Oryzias latipes: one gene and its partner. The protein of the gene in region 1 purifies or fractionates together with the protein of each later gene. This does not show direct contact. Links are inferred from orthologs where the notes say so. Each region holds a gene or a part of one and is shown on either strand. Other genes may lie near its edges. The genes, in order: psmc3ip and mnd1.

The links.
Region 2: the proteins of psmc3ip (region 1) and mnd1 purify together in Homo sapiens (co-immunoprecipitation; 6 studies listed by BioGRID and IntAct, counting the BioPlex papers as one, with this or other methods). This does not show direct contact. The link is inferred for Oryzias latipes from reciprocal best matches to the Homo sapiens genes PSMC3IP and MND1.

The regions. Positions count from the first base shown.
Region 1 is NC_019866.2:6,749,636-6,754,173, forward strand, and holds psmc3ip (homologous-pairing protein 2 homolog), read left to right. Parts: upstream 1-1,631; 5' UTR 1,632-1,718; coding exon 1,719-1,737; intron 1,738-2,873; coding exon 2,874-2,974; intron 2,975-3,056; coding exon 3,057-3,146; intron 3,147-3,227; coding exon 3,228-3,339; intron 3,340-3,414; coding exon 3,415-3,560; intron 3,561-3,638; coding exon 3,639-3,692; intron 3,693-3,783; coding exon 3,784-3,843; intron 3,844-3,908; coding exon 3,909-3,965; 3' UTR 3,966-4,136; downstream 4,137-4,538. UniProt on the Homo sapiens protein: Plays an important role in meiotic recombination. Stimulates DMC1-mediated strand exchange required for pairing homologous chromosomes during meiosis.
Region 2 is NC_019859.2:20,986,861-20,991,432, reverse strand, and holds the start of mnd1 (meiotic nuclear division protein 1 homolog), read right to left. Parts: upstream 3,018-4,572; 5' UTR 2,771-3,017; coding exon 2,768-2,770; intron 2,030-2,767; coding exon 1,964-2,029; intron 1,050-1,963; coding exon 992-1,049; intron 1-991. UniProt on the Homo sapiens protein: Required for proper homologous chromosome pairing and efficient cross-over and intragenic recombination during meiosis.

The DNA of each region.
Region 1 (4,538 bases):
TAAAAACTTTCAATTTAGAAACATATTACACATTTTTTTTTAATTCAACAGGGATATCGAACATACACTAGGACGAAATACAACATTCCATTAGCTTGAACTGAGCCAGTTTGGTACTAACGTTGAAAATCAGCGTTTTAATGTCACAATGCAATAGATGGTAACCATTTGAGAACAAATTCTATACCTTTTCAGAAACTATTCATGGTGTGCCTCTGTCCTTGACTTGTTGGCATGACCTTTTGATAATGGATTTCTTTAATCAACTTCATTTCAGTGATTTTAAATGCTGATCAGAGCAGTAGATTTAATAAAAAAAACTGTTCATTCAAGATTGAATTTAAACTTTTCTGAGTTTTATTTTACTACTGACTGATAAACAAACCCGCAGAATCTTGTTGGAGCCAATTGATGGTACATACGTGTGTTGCAAGTTTGACCGTAATCCCTAAGAAAAGAGGCGCTTCTTTTTTATTTTAGGATTTTTTTCTTCTTCATTATTTTGCACTAATTCTCAGCTTTGTGTGTATTCTTTTTGGAGAAAAAAGATCTAAAAAAAAAATCCTTCAATATTTTTTCTGTCATGTTTTTAGGCGGCCCGAGCTTTTTTTTTAAAAGATGGAATAGAAATGTTCAGCTTCTGATATAAAAACTGTTTACAACTAGAATAAATAAAATATAGGTCTCCTTTTTTATTTTGAAATTTAAAGTGACTTTTGTTCTGGTGGTCTATACATGGTTGAACCATGTCAGAATGTCAGTGTAGAACTTGAAAGAGGGAAAAATATTGAAACAATTTCAAGTATTATTAAGGCAATCAAGATTTTTCAAGTGGAAGACATGTTGCTCTCTGTTGTTTTTAAAATACTTGCTTAAAATATGGTGTAATGTTTGCTGGATCCATCTTTGGTTGAAGGACATAAGTTGTGCACTGGCTGAAATTTGCAGACATTTTAAGAATAATTAGTTTCGATTGGTTTATTTTGGTATAAATATTTTTCCTCTCAAGCTGATCTGTAAAGTCATTTCCTTGGTGGTAAGTCATACATTTTATGTGAACAGTATTGTATTTTCTTCTCAAATGTATCTGGTTTTGATATGTTTCGGAGTGAAAATTGTATTGAATAAAAATGTTTGCAGTTATTTCTGACTTTTGCTGTATATAAAAATACTTTGTAGCTGAATTATTGAAATTCTGTCAACTAACCATTTTTATGGGTTTATGAGTGAACTGGAAAGGAGAAAAAGAAACCATAAAATAATGATTTTAATCTAGGAACCTTTTTAAAACTACACTCTTCCTGTAGATTTTCTTTATTTAAAATCACGTTTCGTTGATATCCGTCCCAACGTCAACTTAAAAAAAATTTGACAGTGGTAGGCGCCACCCACTTAAAACCTAAACAAGGGTAGATCGGAAACAAGCTGACACCTGCAATGACAGAGGTCTCACTTCGCCTGAATTTGAAAGCGCATAAAATCAAAAGATAGTCCGCAAAAATTGTAAGTGTATTATTTTGAGACTCAAACACTGTACAAGATGATACCTTTGTGTTATCAAATAAGTTTCCCCACAAAATTATAGCTATAATTTCATTTACATTAAAGTAGTTTTTTGCTTAAGCTAAGCATCTTTATATATAGTCGATCATCTCCATGACGCAAAATTCGCGCGAAACTTGATCGAGGAAGCTAAAGAGAAGCCAGCGTCGTTAAAGATGAGCAAAAAGGATAACGGTAGGGCGAAAGTAATTAAAACGCTTTGGATGTTTTCGATTTGGTTAGGTTGGTGGATTACTGAACTAACTAGTTTAGTCGAAGCTCAGGAAATAGGTTAGAAAGCCTAGCTAACTTAGCCGACGCGTTAGCTAAACTTTCGCTAGTACTGTATATGATTCGTTTTTTGGCACAAACCACTGTTTTAGTTTTTTTTTTCCTTTTTCTTTTGCCTTTTCGTGGTGGAAGAATACATCCAGCTCCTTCAGGAGATACCTGCTTATAATTGTTACATTATATGGAATAACTGTGGAAAAAAAGTTTCGTATAAAGAAGTGTTTCTTGAGAGATACGATTTATTTCAGCAAGACATAGCATTAAGTTAACCTAAGAATAGCTTCCCTGAGTATTATAGGTATAGCAAGTATAATAATAGACCACGTAGCTGTAGCGTACTAGGAAGTATACAAACTGAATACATCTGTATTGAAACATTTTAGGTTTAAAGTATATAGGAAACATTTTAAAAAGTAAACTTCAAGTATACTACCCTTAAATTTACTATTTTTTGCCATCACCTTTACCAAGAATTAAAAGTAAGTTCATTTATGTTTTATTTTTTCCATCATCTGAAGTTTTATATTATATTTAGTAATTTGCCAAATTTTATCATTTTCTCGTGTGTTCAAAAAATGTGAAATACTTAATTAAATCTTTATTTAATCTACTATTTCAACATAAAACATTTGGTCTGCTATTCTAGCCACCTGACCCATCTGTGTTCATCCCCTTAGCAAAATGTAATCTATTTAAGTGTACTACAAGTTACTTGTCCTAAAAAGGAGGCAGTTGAAGTTTACTTTTTATTTACTATCTATATATTTTTTCAATTTAAAATGTTCCAATTTAATCTGAAGAAGTATTTAAGTTATTGTACTCTCTAAATTACATGTACATAGCCTACTTGCTAGACTTAAACTGAATTTCCTTTTAGTTCTTACATATCTTCAGTTCCCAGCATTCATAAATGCAACTTTGCTTGAAATGCTGATTTCCTGTATTCTGTAAGGTCTGTTTTTTGATGATGGGTCTTAAGTAAAGTTTGTAGGATGGGAAAGCCTCCGTGATGTTGTGGTTTCTTTTTTTGTCCTGTCCAGGTGCGACACTCATCCTTGCCTACCTGAATGAGAAGAACCGGCCCTACAGCGCGCAGGATGTCTTCTGTAACTTGCAGAAGCAGCATGGTTTGGGGAAAACGGTGAGGAGGTGCTCCCATACATTTAGCTCCTGCTGTGTGTTTGCTTTTTGCCTAATGATGGACTGCATCTATTCGCTGTCAGGCTGTGGTCAAGGCCATGGAGCTCCTGGCTCTGGAGGGGAAGATCAAGGAGAAAACCTACGGGAAGCAAAAGATCTACTTCGCAGATCAGGTTGGTTTTCTCTTCAGGGAATGCTTTGAGTTTTGTAAAAAGTTTGCAGAGTGCAACCATCTCTGCCCATCTTTCCCACAGTCTCAGTTCAAAGACGTGAACGATGCAGACCTGAAGGCAATGGATCATGAGATCTCGGCTCTCTGTGCAGAGGTTCAGTCCGTCACACAAAGCTGCAGGGAGTTAGACGCAGGTGTTGATTCAGGACCCTGGGTGTATTTCTTTGAAGTTTTCTCACTTTACATTTACTTGTGATGTGTTTTAACAGAGCTGAAGGAGCTGAACAGTTCCCTCACAACAGAAGAAATGGTCGCCGAGATCCAGCAGCTGAAAACCGAATGCTCTGGGTACAGAGAGCGTTTGGAGAAGATCAAGTCGGCATCAAATCACGTCACACCCGAGGAGAAGGAGAAGGTACAAACCAAAGAAACTCCACGTCAACCCAAGACCCTCATGCATGTTTCCTCTACAGTCAAAGTCGTTTGCTTACAGGTTTACAAGGAGAGGGATGTTTACGTTAAAGAGTGGAGGAAGAGGAAGAGACTGGTAGGACATTGTTAATAAAAAAAGCATCGTCTTAAAGACATTTTTTATTAGGATAATGCAGCACAGAAAGGTTTTCCTTGGTTTCCATCAGGCTTCAGACATGATGGATGCAATCCTGGAGGGATATCCAAAGAGCAAAAAGGAATTCCTGGTAGGTAAACCGTCCAAAGATCTACTTTTTCAAGCCCTGAGGGCTCTAACTCTGTTTTTTTACAGGATGAAGTTGGAGTGGAGACTGATGAAGACTGTAAGGTGGTTTTTCCAAATACCTGAGCAAAAGGATGGATTGTGAAGCTACTAAACTAGGAAAACAAATCTGATGTTTAATTTATAAATGTGGTTTTTGAATAAATAGTACATGTTTACTCAACATTAGAATAAAAACAAGCCAATGTTATGGCATTTTTTAGTTGAAAATGAAAATAAAAACAACTATTTGTAGCACTTATGTGTCACTTTTCAGTTACGTTTTCGTGTTTCCATTTGAAAATGTGGCAAATTAAAAAAGGTTTGAATGTCCAGAAAGTTTAAGTCATTTGGTTCTAAAAGGGAGAACATGGTATTCTTCGCTTTTAGGTATAGACCAAACTGGGAAAAATGAACCCTCAGCTGAGCCGACGTCATGCTTAGGACGACGTTTTAATGCCTGAACCCGAGATTTAAGTTTTCAAAAGCTTTGTTACAAACTGCTGCTATAGCATTTTATGCCTTTTTCTCTCCATTTCATCCATTTGGAAGTGTCAATTTACTGGCCATAGAAAGCACAATTCAACAAGACAAACGGATATTTTAATAAAATGCAGACATATTCAAATATCCCACCAACACAAATGTAATCAGACTTTT
Region 2 (4,572 bases), on another chromosome or scaffold:
AATGACTGCTATTGATAGGCCCCGTTCTGCTTTACAGACTAAATACAGCTCAGATGGCAGGAGCAAGTCCTGGTTGCCATGGCAATCCTCTAAGAACGTCACCAGTGTTTCAAGAATGCATGAGGGTGCAGAGCTTTTTGGTACCAACTCCACTGTCTTAAAAGAGCTAAAAAAATAATAATAATTAAATGTGAGAATATTTCTCACCTACAACATTTCAAATGTTGTAAATCTTTATTATTCCACTTACAGGGACACAACCCATTGTCGATCCTGACACTCGACGGGAGCAAAGTAATTTGAAAACGCCTTCTTGGATGAAAAAGTGAACAACGATGATAAAAATCTGTTTAATTATGTAAAGGTAAATCGGAAGTTGTTTTTTTTTCTTTTTTCTGGAGGAATCCACTGGCTCTTAAAGTGGCAGATCCCTTCCTCGTATGATTCATTCTCTTATTTCATTTCTTCTTCATGTTTTCCTTGTTTTACAAACAAGAACCAGTCTGGAATAAATCTTCATCACTGTTGGAAATGACATATAGAAGCCCCATAAGGAGGGAAAAGTCCATCTGGGGAAACACGTTCACTGCCTGTGATCAGTCAGATCAGGTTACTTCAATCAAGCCAAGTATTACAGATTAATCGGATCTATTTATCTCATTATCAGCTGTTGGGTTTAATAATAAGCAGCAAGTCCACAAGCACAGAAATACAGACTTTATATTACAGAGGATTTCCCACATCCTCTTTTGTCTACTTTGCTTTTTGTATGTTTTTTTTTTGTGTTATGTGTGTTGTTTTTTGTGTCATGTTAGGTACCAAGTGAGCCGCCAGGGGGCGACACAGATCAAGTCAACTAGAGAACAGCATTTATAAAAAGTAAAAAAATAAAAACATTATAGAGGTTTAAACTTATTAAAAGGCAGAGTAAGAAAATGCTTAATGTCTATTTATTGTGGATTGACGACTGTTTCAGCTGTTGATCACTCACCTATGCCTTTACTCTTGGGTGCAATCTTTTCTATGTCTTTAAGTTGAAAAACATCTTTCTGGAATGAGAAGAAGAAAACAGCTTCACAAATGCATTACCTCTTTTTTGTCTTCATAAATGAGTCACAAACAAATCGAGCTTTTAAATGTAATTTATTTAGCTATTCTAGGGGTCTGAATCACATGTGGCTCCATGGCCACAAGACATATTAAATAACATTTTTTTCAAAAAATAAAAGTGTCTTGACGTGATTTAATTTTTGTTATATTCACGATTTAAAGGCTGAGATGCTCACATAACAGTAAGATAAACTTCTGCAAACTCTGCCTATTATTAGAATGAGATTAAGGCACCTATTATCTTATGCTGCACAGCAACGTTTAGCTGTTGTGCAAATCAGAAGTGCTAATAATATACATTTATGTATCAATGTATTAACTTCTCTGTTAGATTAGAAATCTTTCACCTCCTGTTTAATATTCAGGTAACAGTAGCGGTGGTGAGAACAACATAAGATGAGGGATGTGTAGAACAGGGCAACTTATTTAAAAAGAAGTCATGCCTGCCTCTTTTAAAAATAAAAGCCAATATTAGATTTGGAAACAAATGTTATTTTTGAATTATATTCTTATGTTTTATAGTTGAAAAACTATAAATCAATAGTAACAATACTAAACACCACGCAGAGTTGTATCTTATATTAAAAGCCTTTGCTGCTTTTAATCCCGTAGAGTCTTACTTTGTCAAAAAAATATATATATATTTTTTTAAATGCACTCAAAATATTTTTTTCCAACATCTGATATTGTTTTTATGCACAAAAAAATAAAATTAAATGTTTTTCATGAAAAGATGCTTCCAAGTGGCAAAAACAATGAAAATGTTTTAAACAATCATTTAAATTAAATCCACACAATCAATACAGCATCAACAATGTGACACAGAAATGTGACCAAGATGACATGAACTCACCGATTCAAAGAAAATTTCCATCATTCTTGTTCTCTTCTCCTCCAAACTGAGGCCTTTCTTTTTAGACTGTAACAAAAAAAATTATTTTAATCCTAACAGACCATGCCTGTTCTTCATCAACTTTTAACAGAGCAACATGTAAAATATTCTTACCTTTAAAGATTATTTCTTTTAAATTGTATTTAGGTTTGGATGTATCACATATACTGCAAACTAATGATATATGTAGGCAATTTTCCCCATCCACTGTTAATTGAGAATATTTGAATTTAGGTGAAAAGGGAAAAGAAACACTAATATAACACACACATTAGAGAACACTGAATCTGTAGTTTTCCTCCCATCCAACAGATGGCAGTATTGCATTCTAGGGGTGGTTTAAGTCGTGTTAACGGATGTAGTTAATACACTTGTATTATATTAGACCCCAAATAAAGCACTTTTAGAATTTAGACTTTCATAAAAACTACTCTTTTGGGAGGTTTTCTATATGTATTTAACTGTGAATCTTCAAATCAACGTCATATTCTTTACGAAGAAAAAAACCCCCGTCAACCCTGATACTTTGAAAAATAGATCTCACTAACAAAATCCTGAAGTTCACTGTAGTTTCCAAACTACATTAACATTAACCGTAACCATTTACATTAACCGTTGAAGTTTGTCTATTTTGACATCTTATTGTAGCGCTTTAATTTAAGTGAGCTAGATTGCAGACCATGATAGTATGTATAGTTGTTCGCTCGGCGCTTCCTTCACCGCACATCAAAAACCCACACTGGCATATTCAAATCCCCGTCTTACCATTTTGTGATGTGAAGAATTCCAGCCGTCCACAACATTAAAATCTGAAAGTGTTAAATTGAAGGTTCTACTTTGTTTCCGATCAAAGAGCAGAAAAAGAATCCTGAAATTCCCGCGGAAGGATGACACGTAATGATGCTGAGTTTAAGATCCCCCGTAAAAACGCATTCTGGGCCAAACACAACGCATTTTAACGTTTTAATTGCAGCAATAATTGGCATTTATCCAGAATAAACCAACAACTGAGAACATTGATCAACTGTGTAACATGAATCCCTCTTCCAAAAGATTTATTTTTTAAAAATACGTATTTCAAAGACAAATATGCAAAACTATTAACAAGAGTTACAGCTGATATCTAACATCAAACTGATTAACCCTTGTGCTATCTTAGGTGACCCCACCCTCACATTGACGTGTTCTCCTTACCATGAAAAAGGTGGAAAGATTTCATGTAATCCACCAGTGAAGATCACAAATCATTGAAAAAAAAAAGGTTCAGCGCACTGTCTCTAATGGGTCTAGATGACCCAACTCCCAATGTTAAAATGTCTAGGATAGCACAAGGGTTACGATGAACAATTTTGTTAACGAGATTCCACACGCCGAAAGAGGTTTGATATAACTTTTGTATTTATTATTCCTACCGCCATTGAAAGCAGCATCCCTGGTTTACGAAACACCTTGGAGATTGTCGCCCTCTGCTGTTCAGAAAGGTGTATTGACCTCTTCAGATTCGTTCCATGAACCGGTATACATTTTTACATTTGGGAAAAAAGAAACACTCACTTTTATGCTCGCAAGTTTGTGCAGGCCAAAGTACATTTTCATAGGAAACACATCTACAGAAAGTAGCCATAGCTGTTTTCTTTGGGCACTTTAATTTCACTTGGCGTTAAAATAAAAATAAATACATAAAATAAAACTTTTACAGGATTGTGTAGAAAATGAGGGACCAAAGTCAAAATTACAAATAGTGACAATTATGTGCTTAAAAGAAAATTATCCAAGTTTTCTAAAGCAGGAACCCAGATGCATTATTACAATTTTACTTGATGAACTTCATACTCCATCTTCTCCCTTTTCCTTTCGTGAAAACAGTTGCCAAAATATACACTTCCTAAGATCATGACGAACATACTGAAAACACAGATGTACAATGAAAAGAAGTAAAGGTGATTGAAGCTCTACCTCTAGTGTCGTTGCATACATTTTGTTGGGACCAAATCTCAGCATTTTTGCCAACATTTGCCCTTAGACTTAAAAAGGAAAACAAAGTGGATCATGAATAAAAATAAAAAATAAAAACATACAAATGGAAACAAATATTTTACATACAAACATTAACATAAACAGTTTTGTGGCGTAACTAAGGAGCTGTGTGTTGTATCTGACCCAAGAGCAGAAGAGGGTGGAATTGATTTCCCACACTATTGCCGTCTTAAGCATCATTCTTAGAATAATACCTCTAATGAACATTTTTGCAGTAATGGTAATGTCATACAAATTGTGCAAGATAATTTACGTCATGCTCAGAGATAGTCTTTTCATGCTCTAAAGCATGAAGGTGGCGCAATGTTTTCTGCTTTTGTGAACAGGCAAATTATCAGAACTTCCAATATTTCAACAAGATTCAACAGTTTTAATTACCGTGATTTACAATTTCTAGGGTGATAAGGTTCTCTTTAATCTCATTCCTCCTTAAAAAGCTGTTTCTTTCTATTTCCCAGTTTTCTGCATGGTGATAAAGTTGCTTTTTTTTAATCAGCATACGATAATTAGGATGTGAACAAATTTACATTAGT